Canis lupus familiaris: one gene and its partner. The protein of the gene in region 1 purifies or fractionates together with the protein of each later gene. This does not show direct contact. Links are inferred from orthologs where the notes say so. Each region holds a gene or a part of one and is shown in the gene's direction. Other genes may lie near its edges.

Evidence for each region. The genes of interacting proteins can lie anywhere in the genome.
Region 2: the proteins of HSPA12A (region 1) and AKAP12 purify together in Homo sapiens (affinity purification with mass spectrometry; 3 studies listed by BioGRID and IntAct, with this or other methods). This does not show direct contact. The link is inferred for Canis lupus familiaris from reciprocal best matches to the Homo sapiens genes HSPA12A and AKAP12.

What each region holds. Positions count from the first base shown.
Region 1 is NC_049249.1:27,533,668-27,541,428, reverse strand, and holds part of HSPA12A (heat shock 70 kDa protein 12A), read left to right. Parts: coding exon 1-81; intron 82-650; coding exon 651-755; intron 756-1,662; coding exon 1,663-1,921; intron 1,922-5,015; coding exon 5,016-5,119; intron 5,120-5,662; coding exon 5,663-6,300; 3' UTR 6,301-7,761. UniProt on the Homo sapiens protein: Adapter protein for SORL1, but not SORT1. Delays SORL1 internalization and affects SORL1 subcellular localization.
Region 2 is NC_049222.1:42,115,153-42,123,626, forward strand, and holds the end of AKAP12 (A-kinase anchor protein 12), read left to right. Parts: coding exon 1-2,734; 3' UTR 2,735-2,742; intron 2,743-3,412; 3' UTR 3,413-6,148; downstream 6,149-8,474. UniProt on the Homo sapiens protein: Anchoring protein that mediates the subcellular compartmentation of protein kinase A (PKA) and protein kinase C (PKC).

The sequences.
Region 1 (7,761 bases):
AACACATCCGGCGTAATCGGCAGAGTCGGACCTTTTTGGTGGAGAATGTCATAGGAGAAATCTGGTCCGAGCTGGAGGAAGGTAGCGTCCTTGAATGCCCTTTGCCCTTGCTGGATTTGTTTTGCGTGGCTGACAAAAATGCATGTTCCTGTTTGTTCCTTTTGCACTTTTGGAAAAGGTTGGTTTTAAAGACCCCTCACCCCAGGATGGCTCTTCCGGAGCTATAATTTTGCATGTTATAAAGCCGTACAGACAGACTCTTTAGAAGACAAGTAGGAATGGGAATTCCCCAGTTCCGGCGTAAGTCTTGTGTTAAACAGCAGGTCATTTTTACGGCCCTATAAACTTGGCAGGAAGTCATCCGCCTGTGTGTGCCAGGTACGCAGTGGCGTGTGACATGAATGCTTTCATCTTAAAGATTCCCTCATCTGGGTTCCCTATCATCCATGCTAATGACATTCCTGGCCAGACGTTATTGCATTCTCTTCAGTCATGAATAACTTTGCTGTGCAGCTAATTAGCAAAATCACGGTGGTAATGAGAAGTGTGCACGGGTGTTGAGTCGGGTATACCAAGTCCTCACCCTCCAGCTTGTCCCAGGAAGGGGCTGACAGGCGGTCTTATGTAAAGGATGACTGTCTTTGTACCAGGTGACAAGTATGTGGTTGTGGACAGTGGCGGTGGCACGGTGGACCTGACCGTCCATCAGATACGGTTACCGGAGGGTCACCTTAAAGAACTGTATAAAGCAACAGGTGAGTCCCTGCATGGCTGATTTTCTCATTCCTGAGCCGCTTCTCTCGTGTCAGATTTCCCCTCGTACTTCCTTCCCTCGGTGCTCCCAGGACAGGGGACTCAAGGCCCATCTACTGATAGCTACGTGCCTGTGTGGAACCAGCTAGCAAAATGTAGCTAAATGTCCTTTAAAACACAAACCACCATAACTGGGGTTTTGGCATAAAACCAGTCTGTTTTAGATCCTGGCCAAGGGAATTTCTTTCTGAAAGTTCTGGAGGGATCAGATTGTCACCTGATCATATGTCGCCTTTGATTTAGCGCGATGGTTAAGCTTTCAAGGGAGGTCTCAGGACACCTGGTCTTGGATCAAAGTTGTCAAAGCAAGCAACAGGCTCTCTCTTTCAGTGGAGGGTGGGATGTTGAGTAATGAACAGATCACAGGGTCTGGGTGGGCCTACTGATTTTTCCAGACCCTGTCCTTGGATTTCTTGGGTGGGGAATACTATGATGCTCCTACATATTACACATATCCATTTTATTTAAAATGAAAGTGATGATATGGGGCCCCTGGCTGGCTCAGTCCATGCAGCATGCAACTCTCCATCTTGAGGTTGTGAGTTCAAGCCCCACGTTGGGTGTAGAGATTACTTTAAAATCTTAAAAAAAAAAAAAGAATGTAATGGATTTTAAACAGCTAGTTGACAGGTGATTCTGTAGGAGAAAGTATCTCCACCTGGGAGGAGAAGAACTGAAGGATTTTAAAGTGTTAGTAAAAATTTATAGCCACAGTCAGCTTGCTAACTGGGTCTAAGCTGAGCTACTCCATATTTCAGGGAAGAACAGCAGGTACGCTGTTCCTCAGAGTTTGGATTCAGTTTCTGGCAGTTTTTAACATGGTGGACTCCCATTTTGTTCTTGACCCAGGTGGACCCTACGGATCCTTAGGAGTAGATTATGAATTTGAAAAACTTCTGTGTAAAATATTTGGAGAGGATTTTATCGAACAATTCAAAATCAAGCGTCCTGCAGCCTGGGTTGACTTAATGATTGCATTTGAGTCTCGTAAAAGGGCAGCTGCTCCGGACCGAACTAACCCACTGAACATCACCCTGCCCTTCTCCTTCATTGACTACTACAAGAAGTTCCGTGGACACAGTGTGGAGCATGCCTTGAGGAAGAGCAAGTGAGTTGGACTCACCAGGGGCTTAGGCCATTCTAGAGGGTGGCTCATGTTGATGGGAGGGAAGAAAGGGGTGAGGACTCTGAGTTCCAATCCTATGTAAGTGCTTGGGCAAGTGACTCAACTTCTCTGTTTCTCAGTTTTTCATCTAGAAAACAAAGATGATGGTTCCACCTACCTCAAACGGTTGTCATGAGGATGAAGTGAATTCATATGTGAGGCACTTAGCACAATGCCTTGGACCTGGAAAGTACTATTTTTGTGTTAGCTTTTATTATGTGCTAATAATTATAAGCTTTATGAAAGCAGGGAATTTTGTGTGTTTTGGCCTCTGCTATATCCTCCGTATCTACAATAGAATCTGGTGTGGACATAGCAGGTGCTCAGTAAATATTTGTTGAATGAATCCTGTGGGATCCTGGGTTTCCTGCTACTCTGAGTCTCTTGGCTGCAGGCAAGTGTTTGTAGTTCAGCTTGTTGCAAAATGAACATTTGGAAGCTATTTTAAAGCTGAAGTACAAAATTAATAGACAAAAATCATAGGTTTCTAAAAATCTTTTTTATAGTGGAAAATTTCAAACATTTACTGGGCAAATGAATCTCATTATTCAGCTTCAACAACTGTCAGTTCCTGGCCAATCTAAATCCTCATGTACCCTTCCCCAAGCATTTTAAAGCAAATCTGATCATCATCTAATCCATAAATATAACAGTGTATCTCTAAGGGAGATAATTTGAAAATCAAAACCATGACACTTATTCCTATCACACTTAAAACAATTCTTCAGTATCCTTCAAATATACCCAGGGAACATTCAAATTTTTCCTATCGTCTTATTTTTTTTCAGTTTGCATTACTATCTAAAAGATGGCTATTCATAGCAATGCTCTGGCATGCCTCTACGTCCCACTTAACATATAGGATCACCCTCCTGTTTTTTCTTTAGTTTATTAGATGATAAAGCTGATTGTCCCATAGAGACTTCTATAGGCTGGGGTTTTTGCTCATTGCATGCCCACATAACATGTTTGGTCCCCTGGTATTTTTTATAAATTGTCAGACTGAGCTAGAGATTTGGTCAGATGCAAGTTTGAGTTTTTGGCAAACCTACTTCGTGGCGGGGGCAGGGGATAGTATTTCCCTTTGCATCACATCAGGGAGCACATGCTATTTGCTGGTTGCTTCTTTTGGGATGCTAGCTAGCCATTGTTGCCTAGGCCCACCAAGCTAATGGGTGGCCTCTTCGTCTCTCACTCCTCCTGCATCTGTTAGCTAGCATGCTTCTGGAGAGAGAAACTCTTCTCCTAAGTGGTTTGGTTGCCCACTGAAGTACAGTTCATATAGAGAAGACAGGACAAATGCTTGGTTCTTTCCTTTCATTTAAACATTTTTTGTTAAAAAACAACAACAACAAAAAAAAAATTGTGGAATTCCTAGCATTCTCCTAAGTGACAAATGCTTTTTTTCCTTTTGTGGGGATACCTTTCAGACTTCATGGATTTAGGCATATTTGGTGTATTTTAAACCATGGCAGTTGTATCCTTATTGATCATCACAATGTCCCGTCTTGGCCAGGAGGAGCTTCTTCAAATTGGCTCCTGAGTCCCATTGATACGATATTGTGGTCTGACTTCTGGTTTGAGAAGATGCTCCTGGCTCATCTTGTATGCTCCCCATCCCAGACCTGCAATCGGCCAGTTCTCTAAGAAGCCGGGCTCTGGGGATCCCTGGGTGGCGCAGCGGTTTAGCGCCTGCCTTTGGCCCAGGGCGCGATCCTGGAGACCTGGGATCGAATCCCACGTCGGGCTTCCGGTGCATGGAGCCTGCCTGCTTCTCCCTCTGCCTGTGTCTCTGCCTCTCTCTCTCTCTCTCTCTCTCTGATGTGACTATCATAAATAAATAAAAATTAAAAAAAAAAAAAAAAAAAAAAAGAAGCCGGGCTCTGTTTAGCAGGAAATAAAGGAGATAGGATATTGGGTCTTCTTGCCCTTGGAGCAGGGTCCTGGCTGGACTCTTATGAGACTCTAGGCTCATGGTCTCTCTGTCCACTGGCCTCCCATGGAGGTGCTTGCTCCCAGCTGAACCCCAAATCCTGCTCACACAGTCTGGGGCCTGTCAGCATTCCTTCTGGGGGGACTGGCTACAGCCAACCCATGGATCATCCCATACCATCCCACATTGTCCTTTGGCCGAGGCCACAGAAAGACTGCCTGGTCAGGGAGACCTGGAAGCATCTAGAAGGTGATGCTAGGAAGCAGCTGGCACATGCTTTGCTTCAAGGACAGATGCCATTTGTTTGGTCTTTGAACTTGAGAATGAGCGGGTACAGGCTGCAATAATAGTCCCTGGCATTTCCAAAGTGTTTTCACAAATGTGGTATTTAACTTCATCTTCACAACAACCCCAATGAGGGAGGTAAGACAAGTTGTATTATCTTTGATTTCCAGATAAGAGACTGGGGCTCAGAGAAATTGCAGCTCAACTTTCCCAAAAGTTCCACAGGTTCTGAGGGACAGAGACCATCCTGGGGCCGGGCACTCCTGACTCCCCATCTAGTGCTCTTTCTGTTCCATGCTGTTGCTTTGCATGTTCTGTACCTTTGACAGAGAAAGGGACATCCTAGTTGGATTAGGCCTGTCACTGTCATGGGACGGGTGCCCACAGGGCTTACGAAAAGGCACCTGAGCACACAGGCTTGTAGCCATAGGCCACAGCACAGTGGACACATCATATGAGCATTTAATGGACTCATTAATGGACTCAAATCTGACTATCACTCGACTAAAAAATGTGGACATTCAAACCAGAAAGATCCCTTTAATTCTCACCCTATATTTTGCACTAGACTTTGGCTTCTGCCATTCCAAGGGAAGGTTGGCCACAGCACAAAGCAAAGAGAAACAGAAGAGGCTGTGTCTTGGCTTTTGAGTGTCTAAGGGTCCAGGTTCTGGCAGTTGAGGATATTTCCAGGGACTTTCAAACCCTTCTGTTCCTTCGATGTGACAGCTGTTCTGCTAGCACCCATGTCTGTACACATTAGCCTGAGTATCATTCACACACTCACTACCTGTTTCTCTCCATGCCACACCCCCACAGTGTGGATTTTGTGAAGTGGTCCTCACAAGGGATGCTGAGGATGAGTCCAGATGCCATGAATGCCCTTTTTAAGCCAACCATTGACAGCATCATTGAGCATCTTCGTAAGTATCAGCCAGGGCTCAGCCACTCAGTAGGGCAGAGCCAAGAAAGGGGACCGACTTTTCTAGCATCACTAGCTGGTGCATGGGGACCCACAGTAAACTCACTGGGCACCTTTTGCAGTATCCAGGCCCCCCATCCACATCCCACCCCACACCTCCCACATCAGAACCCCTTTGAAAACTAAAGAACAGTTTTGAGAACAGCCTGCCTTTACTGATTTAACAGGACCACAGGCTTGGAGAAGGTTAGGACTATTCATTTATGCCTAACAAATTACTAGTGAAAACCATCACCATCTAGCTATAAAAATGAGTTCTACTGACCAAGAGCTTTGGTGTTCACTTCTTGCGCATATTAGTGTGCAAAACCTTCTCTTTCAAAGACCAGCTGTACAAAAATTCTGTCCAACCAGCATAGCCACATCTGCCCCCGCAGCGGGCCCAAGTGGTTTGGTCCGTGTTCCCCACGCTCTTGGGCCACCAGTCTCCCTTGGTGGTGTGGCTTTTGGTGACAGCATATTGTCCCTTACTCTTTGTTTTCAGGGGATCTGTTTCAGAAGCCCGAGGTGTCCACTGTCAAGTTCCTCTTCCTGGTGGGAGGCTTTGCAGAGGCGCCCCTCCTGCAGCAGGCAGTTCAGGCCGCCTTTGGTGACAAGTGCCGCATCATCATCCCCCAGGACGTGGGCCTCACTATCCTCAAGGGCGCGGTCCTCTTCGGCCTGGACCCCGCGGTCATCAAGGTGCGCCGATCACCGCTCACCTACGGGGTGGGCGTGCTGAACCGCTACGTGGAGGGCAAGCATCCTCCTGAGAAGCTTCTGGTGAAGGATGGGACTCGCTGGTGCACCGATGTGTTTGATAAGTTCATTTCTGCCGACCAGTCGGTGGCCCTGGGGGAGCTGGTGAAGCGTAGCTACACCCCGGCCAAGCCTTCCCAGCTGGTCATCGTCATCAACATATACAGCTCCGAGTGCGACGACGTGAGCTTCATCACCGACCCGGGGGTGAAGAAGTGTGGCACGCTCCGCCTGGATCTCACAGGGACCAGCGGCACGGCCGTGCCCGCCCGGAGGGAGATCCAGACCCTCATGCAGTTTGGGGACACAGAGATCAAGGCCACGGCCGTCGATATAGCCACCGCGAAGAGTGTCAAGGTTGGGATTGACTTCTTAAATTACTAACCGGCCCGCCCCGCCGCCTGCCCCCTTGGACTAAGCTCACCTGCATCTGCGGACCTCCCCCCTACCCCTTGACTGTCCTTTCCCCCTTGTCCTTGACCCTCAGCATTGCTCACCTGAATTTCAGCAGGGAAGATGGGAACAACTAGGGCTAGAAATAATTAGGGATTTTCGAGGGCACACTGGAGTCAGAAAAACTGTTGGAAATTGAGGTTGAGGTTTGGGGATGAGAAAGCTGAGGATCCTGGAAGAGCAGCTAGTTTTCACAGGTACAGAGTGGTGAAACACACCCACCCGCACAAGGGAATCAGTCTGTTTCTGCAGCAGTGATTCAGCCTCATTTGCACGGATCTCCCGTTAGGTAGAACGTAGGAGGCCCTATTGCTATCTTTCTAGATTTGAAATGAGATCTTTGAGCCAAGAGGAGATTCTTCATCTATTTGAGACTTTTCTTTTTTACATTTTGTGGATGGCAGTCGACCCAGAATGCTGTCCATCTGCAGTTAATTGCTTTTCATCATCATGTGATTAAAAGCGATGATTCACGAAACTGGGAGCATTTTCAGCTGGTGGGAGAGGACTGGCCCTGCTGGGCACTATTTTAGGGTCTCATCATTTCAATTCTGAATAGGTTCAGGGAGGAGTAACCATAGCCTGAGCTAATCTACTAGGATTTGAGTGAGTGGGAGAGCTGACACCTTAGCTTTTCGGCAGCGAAAGCTTGCTTCGAGGGAAATGGATAGTCAGGCACTGCTGATTTATACCAAATCATATGCTGTGTGGCATCTTTCCCCAGATGCTAGATTCTGATTTCTGAATTCATAAATAATTCAAGCCAAGTTTAGTGGGCTTCTGCGTGAGGAAATGGGCTTGCGGTTTGCCTTGTTCACATCAGCAAGCCCAGGAGTCTGAAACAGCCCCTCACCCTGACAAGGGTACGTAACTTAACTCCCTCCTCATCCTCATCTCTCAGAGAGTTTTGGCCAGCACTCCCACATTTCAAAAAGAATACATTGGTTACACATGGATAGAGAATCTGTACGATGAAATGTTTCATTAAAATCTTCCGTTTTTAAAGCGTATCTGAAAGGAATTCATAGATCTGTACTCAATGAGTTAAGCCAGGTCTTCTCAAAGCTGATCTGTGGATCCCTCTCGTCAGCACTGCCTGGGTACCTCTTAAAAACAGGTTTCTGGATGCTGTCCCTCTTAAAAATTGAAGCTGAGTCTCGGGGAGGGCGACCAGCATTTGCATTTTCAGTAGACACCACAGAGGACTGTGGCTCCGAGGGAATCTGAGAACTAACTTTAGGTTTTGTTGGAAGCTGAGGCACAGACCAGCGACCAGCGCCTGCAGTCTTCCTGTTTGGGGCTCCCTTAGGGAGAGGATTTTTCTAGCGAAGAGCCAGAGTCCCACACCCTACCCTCAGCGAGTGGGGCTGGGGCTCCACCTGGCTTGGGGAC
Region 2 (8,474 bases), on another chromosome or scaffold:
GCTCAGTACGGATCTGGTACGTGGGGTCACGGTGACTGTCCTTGACGGGGCAAGGGCTCTTACCAATGTGGAAGAAAGGTCGCCATCTTGGATATCCGCTTCGGTGACAGAGCCTCTTGACGAAACGGAAGATGAAGCCAAACCCCTAACCGAGGACGTGTTTGAAGGAGAAGTCCTTGCAGAGGAAACCTCTGTTACCAAACCTCTACCAGAGGGTCAAGATGCCATTGATGACACAGTCGTGAGTGAGGCGGAATTAACTTCGGAAGCTGTGACAGCCGCGGAAGCTACCGGGGCCCTTTGTGCTGAAGAAGCAGCAGAGGCATCTGGTGCTGAAGAGACCGCCGACATGGTGTCCGCTGTTTCTCAGCTAACGGACTCTCCAGACACCACAGAGGTAGCAACGCCTGTTCAGGAGGTGGAAGGTGGCGTACCACGCCTCGAAGACCAAGAGAGGCGGACTCAAGAGGTCCTGCAGGCAGTTGCAGAAAAAGTGAGAGAAGAATCACCACTGCCTGACACCAGAGGGCCAGAAGACACCACTCGGACAACGCGGGGAGTAGAAGCCGAGATACCAGAGAAGGTGGAGGAAGCGGAAGAGGATTCACAAAGGCAAGACCTGAAGAAAGAGACGGAGGTAGCGCTGGAAGAACGTGCACAAGAAACTAAACCTGAGACTTTGGCACAAGGGGAAGTAATCGTACAGGCCACCCCAGAAAGCTTGGAGAAAGTTCCTCAAGTCACAGACAGCGTGGAGTCCAGTGAGCTTAGAACCACTTGTCAAGCTGAAACCCTGGTTGGGGCAACATCAGAATCGATTCTGGAACAGGCTGTTGCCCCGGACTCAGCTGAAACCCTCACAGACAGCGAGACCAACGGGAGCACCCCAGTAGCTGATTTTGAAGCTCTCCATGTAACACAACCAGAGCAGATCCCGGGGATGCACGAAGGTCCTGAGGTTGCATCGGGCGCACCGCCCCAGGTCACAGAAGCAGAGGCAGTTCCTGCACCCGAAGAGGGGCCTCCAGCACCTTCTACTTTCCCATCCGAAGAAGAAGATAAAGGACATTCAAAAATGGAAGAGATTCTAGAACGCACGGACAAAGAGGTATCGGTGGAAGCTGTACCCACTCTTTCAAAGACCGACGTGATAGAAGAGGAAGGCCAGTTCGCCGATAGGGAAAGCAAAGACGAAGCTCTCGTCGACGGCCCTGATGTGACAGCGGCCCCTGAAACAACCATCAGTCAGGAAGAGACGAGTGACCTTGCCCTTCAAGATGAAGCTACTGAAGACCCCGAATTTCAGAAGAAGGAGGATGATACCGAAGTCCAGAGCCGTACACCCTCTCCCAGCCCGGTGGGGAGGGAGCTGGTAGTTCAAGTAGAAAAGGAGGAAATAGAAGCAAAGCCAACCCAAGCCACCGAAGAAGAACTTGAGCAAAAACCCACCGTGACCGTCTCTGAGGAGCTTAGCAAGGAACTGGTGCAGACAGTTAGGGTGGCCGTCATCGACGGGGAAAAGGAGGTTACCATTTGGGAAGAAAGTTGTCCGCAGCTAGTTGAAGAGGCAGCGGTATGCACAGAAGTCCAAGTGCAGAGCTCTGAACCGTTACCTCTAACAGCCGCAGTGGTGGAGGAGAAGGTCTTGGGAGAAGCTGTCAAGAGTGTAGATGCCAGTGAGACCCTGGAACCTGCGGGCGCACATTTAGCCCCAGAAGAAGAATCCTCCACAAAGGATGAAGGCCTGACGGCCCAGCCAGGGGCGGTCGAGGTGCCCACGGGGACTGAGGCTCGGCCGGAACCTGGACCGGGAACTGCCCCGGGAACTGCCCCGGGAACCGCATCAGCTGAGCCTGACGGAGGCACGAGCGCTGCCCCGGAAGGAGAGAAAACCACCCCCCAGAGACAGACCTCAGAGGAAGAGGACGGGCCGGCTGCTTGCCAGGAAGTCCCGGCAAGAGAGGAGGATCTAAAGGCTGAAAACGACCTCTCGAAACTTCAGACCGAGAGTAGTAAACTTGTACAGAATGTGATCCAGACAGTTGTTGGTCAGTTAGGAGGCGCGGAAGAAACAGCCGCGGACCTCCAGACCCAGGCTCAGCCGCTGACGGCGGACGGCCAGGAGGCCAGCTCGGAGGCCAGGCCGCACGTTGAGACGGAAGGAGGCGAGCTTCAGGCCTCTGCACCAGATGGAACCCACACTGTTGACGCCAAAGAAGAACCCCCACTAACCGCCGTGGAGCAGACCCCTTCTGAGGTTTCTGAAGCCTCGGAAGCTGTGAGTGAAGCTCCAGAAAAGATCACAGCCATCGAGGTAGAAAGTTCAAGCGTCCATGACCAGCAGCTTGAAGAGGCAGCTCTCCCATCTGAAGAAAAGAAAGAAACAGCCAGAACCGAGCCTGTCCCAGAAGATTGTGATGGTGCCGGGTCAGAAGGAAGGATAGAGGAGTCGCTCTTTGAATCCCAAGAAGATAAAAAAGGTGATGAGGTTGATGACCCTGAGAGCCACCACTCGTGCTCACCCCTGGAAGATTCTGAGGCCCCAGGAGACGTAAGCCAAGAGGCCCCGGACACGGATGGACCAACAGGCAAAAAGAAGGAAGGTGGCCAGGAAGTAGAATTCCAGGAAGCCAAAGTCCACAGCGAGCCAGAAGATGAGATTCAAACCCAAACACGGGACGAGACACAGAAACAAGAGGGAGAACCGGCCAAATCAGAACCCACAGGATCCTAATGCATCATGTAAGCAAGCTTCCTTTCCCCCTAAAGCAGTCTTTGCCTCTTTGTGGCCATTTGATGGCACATTCGTTCTAAGGGAAGCAGGAGTTTAATCCTTATGACTTTGTGCAGAACCTTGAGTTGAATAATAATCAAGGAGATCTAGGCTCCCTTCCTTTGTTCCCCTCTCACCGACGTGCCATTCAGTCTTACCTGTAGGAAAATAATGGCCTCGGTTCACCCCTATGTGACTGCTTTCAAGGAAAATCAGGGGGTGTGTATGTATGTGCGTGTGTGTGCATTTGTATGTTTGGCTCGAAGGCATAAGAAATATGTTGTGTTCCCAGCACCAGACTAACCAGTTTATTGAATTTTTCCCTATAACCAGAAGTCCAACATAAGTTTATATCCTACAGCTTGAAATTTTAGTTGATAGCTCTCTAGAAAAAAAAATTATCCCCCCATCAGCAGTAACAAGCATTTAAAAATTTCCCAGTGCGTGTGATGCGCCTGGATGTTGGTGCTGGGGAGCCACAGCTGCGGGTTTGGGGAGCGCCCAGCCTGACCTGCCGTGGGCCCTGACCCACTCACTTTCCCAGGGGCTGCACTCCTCTGTCAGGGCTTCTGCTGCTCCTGGAGTGAACGAAGAGGAGAGGAGACTTGATCAAATTTTGATTCTTGCTTCCTCCTACAGGTCCACCCTGAGTGTCTGCAAGACCGGAATGTGAAGACGAGTGGTAGGAGGAAATGGACGCTGCTGACGAGACTCGAGACCAGTGTTTCAGACTCAGAACCGAAGAACAGGCCCCTCGACTGACCTCCTTTCTGGAGCACCCTGACAACCCTGAGGCTGCATCGGGAGCTAGAGCCATTTAACGTTTCCTCTTCGCAGGGCCACCCCATTACTTTCCCTTGATACCCTTATTATAATGTTTCTGATTTAAGGTCCTAAATTCTTAACCTGGAACTGGAGTTGGCCAAACCTAGTTCTGCTTCTCAAACTGGAGTATCATCCTTTATGTATTTATATGTATGTTTTAAGTAACCCTTCCTGTATCTATTGTATATTTTTTTTTTCTTAACAATTAAGGAAATGTGCAGTTTTGTATCACACAGCACGTGGCGGGGGCATGCAGCCGTGGTCAAGCCTTGGGAAGCTCTAAGCCTCAGCTGTAACCTGTGAAAACAGCTTCCTGGAGACAACATTCCTGATCAGAAGCTATAGTTTGTACTTTAAAATCCACTAAGGAGTAGGTCTGTGTTTCATATCGCTCTAAAATTGGTCACTCTCCTATTATGCACAGTGTGCTAAAAATAAGCTTTTTTTGGGGGGGAACATACAGAATGTTCCATTGTTACTGTGAAATTTTTCTTTCTAGCTCAGTGGGGGTTGGAAGGGAGTTTTTTTCAGTAGCAGATTAACTTTTAAGCCTTTTCTCTGGATTGTGGTGGTTTGGACAGATGAGTGTGCTTAAATCCTGAGGCAAAGCAGTGAGAAATGTTTTTCATCTTATCAAGAAAACAATTTGGCTGTTTTTTAAGTTTTTGATTCTACTCTTCTATGCTGGACCACACTCACACGCAGCATGAAGTCAGTCAGGTTCTTGACAAATGGTATTTTGATAGGTACTGGATTGTATCTGTGCCATATTTGTGCCCACTCTTTTAAGGACAATGTTGCATTATGTTCATTTGGATAAACTGTGATTTGACAACTGATTTAAATAAAATATTTGCTTCACTTAGATTTGCTGGTTTTATTAGATACTAGGAAGCCTGGGGCGTGTCTCCTGAGTGCTAAAAGCAGGTAAAGTAGAAGTTTCTGGTGTAGTTGCCACATGATGTCACCACTTGATACCAGTTTGAGGTCATGTGCCGAGGAACTCCTAGCAGAGAGGCATCAGCTAAAATAAACCAAGGGCTTTGAGACTGACAGTACTGACACAGTGCCACCATCTGGTGGTGCGTCTTCCTGAAAAGGTCAATTTTCTTTTATTAGTTTCGGTCTTAAACAATGAAAGATGTCTAGAAAGAAATCTTAAGAAGGCTTAATGATAAAAATGCCTTACCTAACAGGTGCTTTTAGAATTTTTTTAAAATGTCAATGATTTATGATTCATGCTAAGATGTAAAAAGTTTTGTCAAATTGCCACAGTCGCCTGTGTACTCTATAGAGTTCCACTTTTTCACATGTAGAAATGGCGTGGCACATAAAGAAAGGTTTCTTAAATTGCACTGAAACGTAGAACTCTGGTGAGCAAACCCAAATTTCACCTGCTAGCTAATGATTTTAAAGCATCCTAGATGTTCTAGAAACACTAGTTTAGCAGAAGGAAAATAGGCTGTTAAAATCAGAAAGTAGTTGATGTTATATCAACAAACCTGACAACTAAAATGGCAATATTAGACATCTCATGATAACAGTGTATGGCCTTGTAGTTGGAAAATGTTTAATAACCCTTTAGGAGTTACTCTCATATGTAACAGTCATCCAAGCTTATTAAGCTTTAAAATCCCCAAATTAAAAAAAAAAAAAACACAACCCTGATCTAAGTATCTTTTACCAACTGGAGACTTAAAAATTAATCCAAGTGCTGGTGTCAATTTTCGAAGACCAACCAGGAGATAGTAGAGATGAGAGGAATGTCTAAGGGGCTCCTGACAGGTCCAAACACCTACTTCGTCTCTATGGCCCAAGGAGGCTTTGCCTTGAAGAGATTACAGATTCATATAGTCAAGTGATAGATGAAATTTTTTTTGTTTTTGTGTTTTGTTTTTTGTTTGTTTAAACCCCATCCTGCCATTCCACTCTGTATTTTCTGTTCTCTGACCACATGTGGCCAAGTTATCCTGGCCATTGCAAGTGAATTTCCAGCAGTCGTTGCTTCGTGACTGTGCTTTTCATACTCCTACCTGGATGTGCCCTGGGTTCCTTCTGTACGAGCTCTATACCAATGTCTGTTGAGCAACTTTTATTAACCAGAGGAATGCAATTAACAGTAGCATGAAATAGAATACTGTAGTATAATTCTAAAGCTGCTGTTAATACATAATAGCCAAGTGTAAACTGCAAAAGTTCGAACAAGTGCCTATATTTTGCTATTTTTGGCATTACTGTAGAGCCATGTACAATAGAAAGCAATGCAAGACTTGTAAACTTCTCACCTCTTCTTGTAATCGAGGAATACCAAATGCTCCCCCTCAGGTTATTTTGCTAATGGTACACATAAGTTGCCTCTCTCTGTTACAAATACTGTGTTCCAATATTTTACTTTGGTGTTTGGAGCTACAAATAGTCAAGGGCTGGAAATTTTAGCTTTCAGTAAGCTTCAAGCCTAGCCATTTCTTTTTAATCTGAGACAATATTTGATTCCTAGTTCTGTTTGGGGGTGAATTTTCATTTATCTAAATAAAATGCAATGCAATTAAATACCATGGATTTTCTTTCTGTAATTTCACCTTAATTCAATTTTGATTGCTTTTCTCAATACTGTCCTGATACTCATCACACAATTTAACTTCTACTTTTAATTACTTACCCGTCCTTTGCAACATTTTCCACAAATCATCGTGGGAGTTTGGAATGTATCGGGGATGTGTGTAAATGCACAAGATGCTATCAGCGATTCATAACTGTTTGGGGCCAAGGGCCCCTTTAGTTAGAATCTCATTAAGCCTCTGGCTGACCTCCAACTCCCCAAAATACAGCTTTTGGGTAGTCCCACTTACCTCCCCTGAAATCCCAACCAGTAACTAGAACCAGAGTTAGAAACCCCTTCCCCAACTCTACCATAAAGGAAATGGGCCCCACCCCCAAGGGCTCCAGGTGGTGAGAGGATGGGAACCAAGCACCCAACCGGTGTCTGTAACTTCAAGTCTACCTGCCTATTCATTTCTAATTTGATTCTGGGATTGGATTTGTTAGACATCCTGGCACAGTCTTGTGTAAACGCAGATTTCTCCTCCCCGCTAAATTCCTTACCATCGCCAGCCTGTGTCACTGGAAGTGAGCTGGGGATCTGGTCTTAACCCACAGGAGAAAGCTGAGGTTTAGATCACCAGCTTTTAAGTCACTTAAGGTTTTTTGTTGCTATTGTTCTTTTTAACCTTTATGGTTTTGGCTAAGGTGACCAGGACTTGGGATGGCATGGTGGTGAAGATAGTCATGACTTCTTTTGATGCTGGCTTAGAAATCAACCCTACTTTTTTGATATCTAACTATAAAAGACATTGTGACAGTGCCATACCTCCAGTTATGAGTGAGTGATCTCATAACTCTGCATATGCTTCCATTGCTTGTTGACATTAAAAATTCTAACACAAGAAGTATTACATTAACCTCGTAAGAGCAGCTTCAGGGGCACCTGGAGGGCTCAGTCGGTTAAGCATCTGCCTTCGGCTCAGGTCATGATCTCAGGAGCCCCAAGTCAGGCTCCCTGCTCAGCAGGGAGTCTGCTTCTCCCTCTCCTTCTGCTCCCCACCTTGCTCGTGTACACTCTCTCAAACCTTAAAAAAGCAGCTTCACTGTAACACGTGATATTAAAGTCATGGCCATTTGGCTGCCAAGCCTTGCGTGAGCTCAAGAGAATGGGAGGTAGAATCAACAGGGCGACGCCTTATTATCTGTCATGGGAACTCAGTGGGTTGAAGGAGGAAGCTTCTGGGTTACCAGCCTGCATATGGAGCCAAACCCTGACCTAGGCGGGGGCCAGGAGACAGTGGTTAGTTTGGGCAATGTTCAGTGAGGTCAATGAGTTATCGAAGGGCAAAAGCAGGATTGGTAGCTGGATATGTGTCAAAAGAGTTGAGAACAATGAGACAGCAATGGCTCTTCTGTTCTCTGTCCTTGGAGACCCAGAGGGGGAAATAACCTACACGGATCCTGCAATGTGTCTTAAAAGCTCAACACAAACTTTGGTTGGGTGACTGAGCGAGACGAGGCTTTAGTTACTTGTCACAGCAGAGTCATTTCAGAACATAGAACTACATGCTTCACGAGTCTTTCCTGTTGCGAATGTGCTTTTAGAAACTAGAAAGCAAAATGCATCGTGATGCATTCATATTAGTCATTAGAAGAGAAATTTTTGAAAAAATATCCATGAGAGAGGCAGAGACAGAGGTGGGGGAGAAGCAGGCTCCATGCAGGGAGCCCAACATGGGACTCCATCCCGGGTCTCCAGGATCACACCCCAGGCCAAAGGCAGGTGCTAAACTGCTGAGCCACCCAGTGATCCCTAGAAGAGAAATTTTAATAAGACTGTCCACCAGAGGCAACATCGTGACTGCTAATGATGGCTGTCTCCTTGAAGATTTTGATAAACTCAGAATAAAGACACTGATCTTTCTACAATGTTATGAATATATACATCTTATTCAGACATGCTCTGTTTTAGACATGAAACATCCACTTGGGTGTCATCTGCATTTCTTTTCTTTCCTCCCTTCTGCATTTTCAGCTTCTGTGGCCCGCTGTGCCTTTCCCCAGGAAGACTTAGGCCACACATGCTACATGGGGTGGAGGGTCTGTGGGAGGGATCTTGAACTCATAGTGTCCTGGGCTCTCCATGGTTCCCCCAGACACTGTATCATGCAGGCTCCTGGTTCTCTCCCACCCTTATCTGCTTATAGGCATCACTACCTAACTGCAAAGATGATTCTTTAGTTCCATTTCTTTTGCTGACAAAAAATTATAGAAATACATTGAAACTACTAACAGCTTGGAAGCATTTCCCAGGTAGTGTGATGGTAGCAGGAGG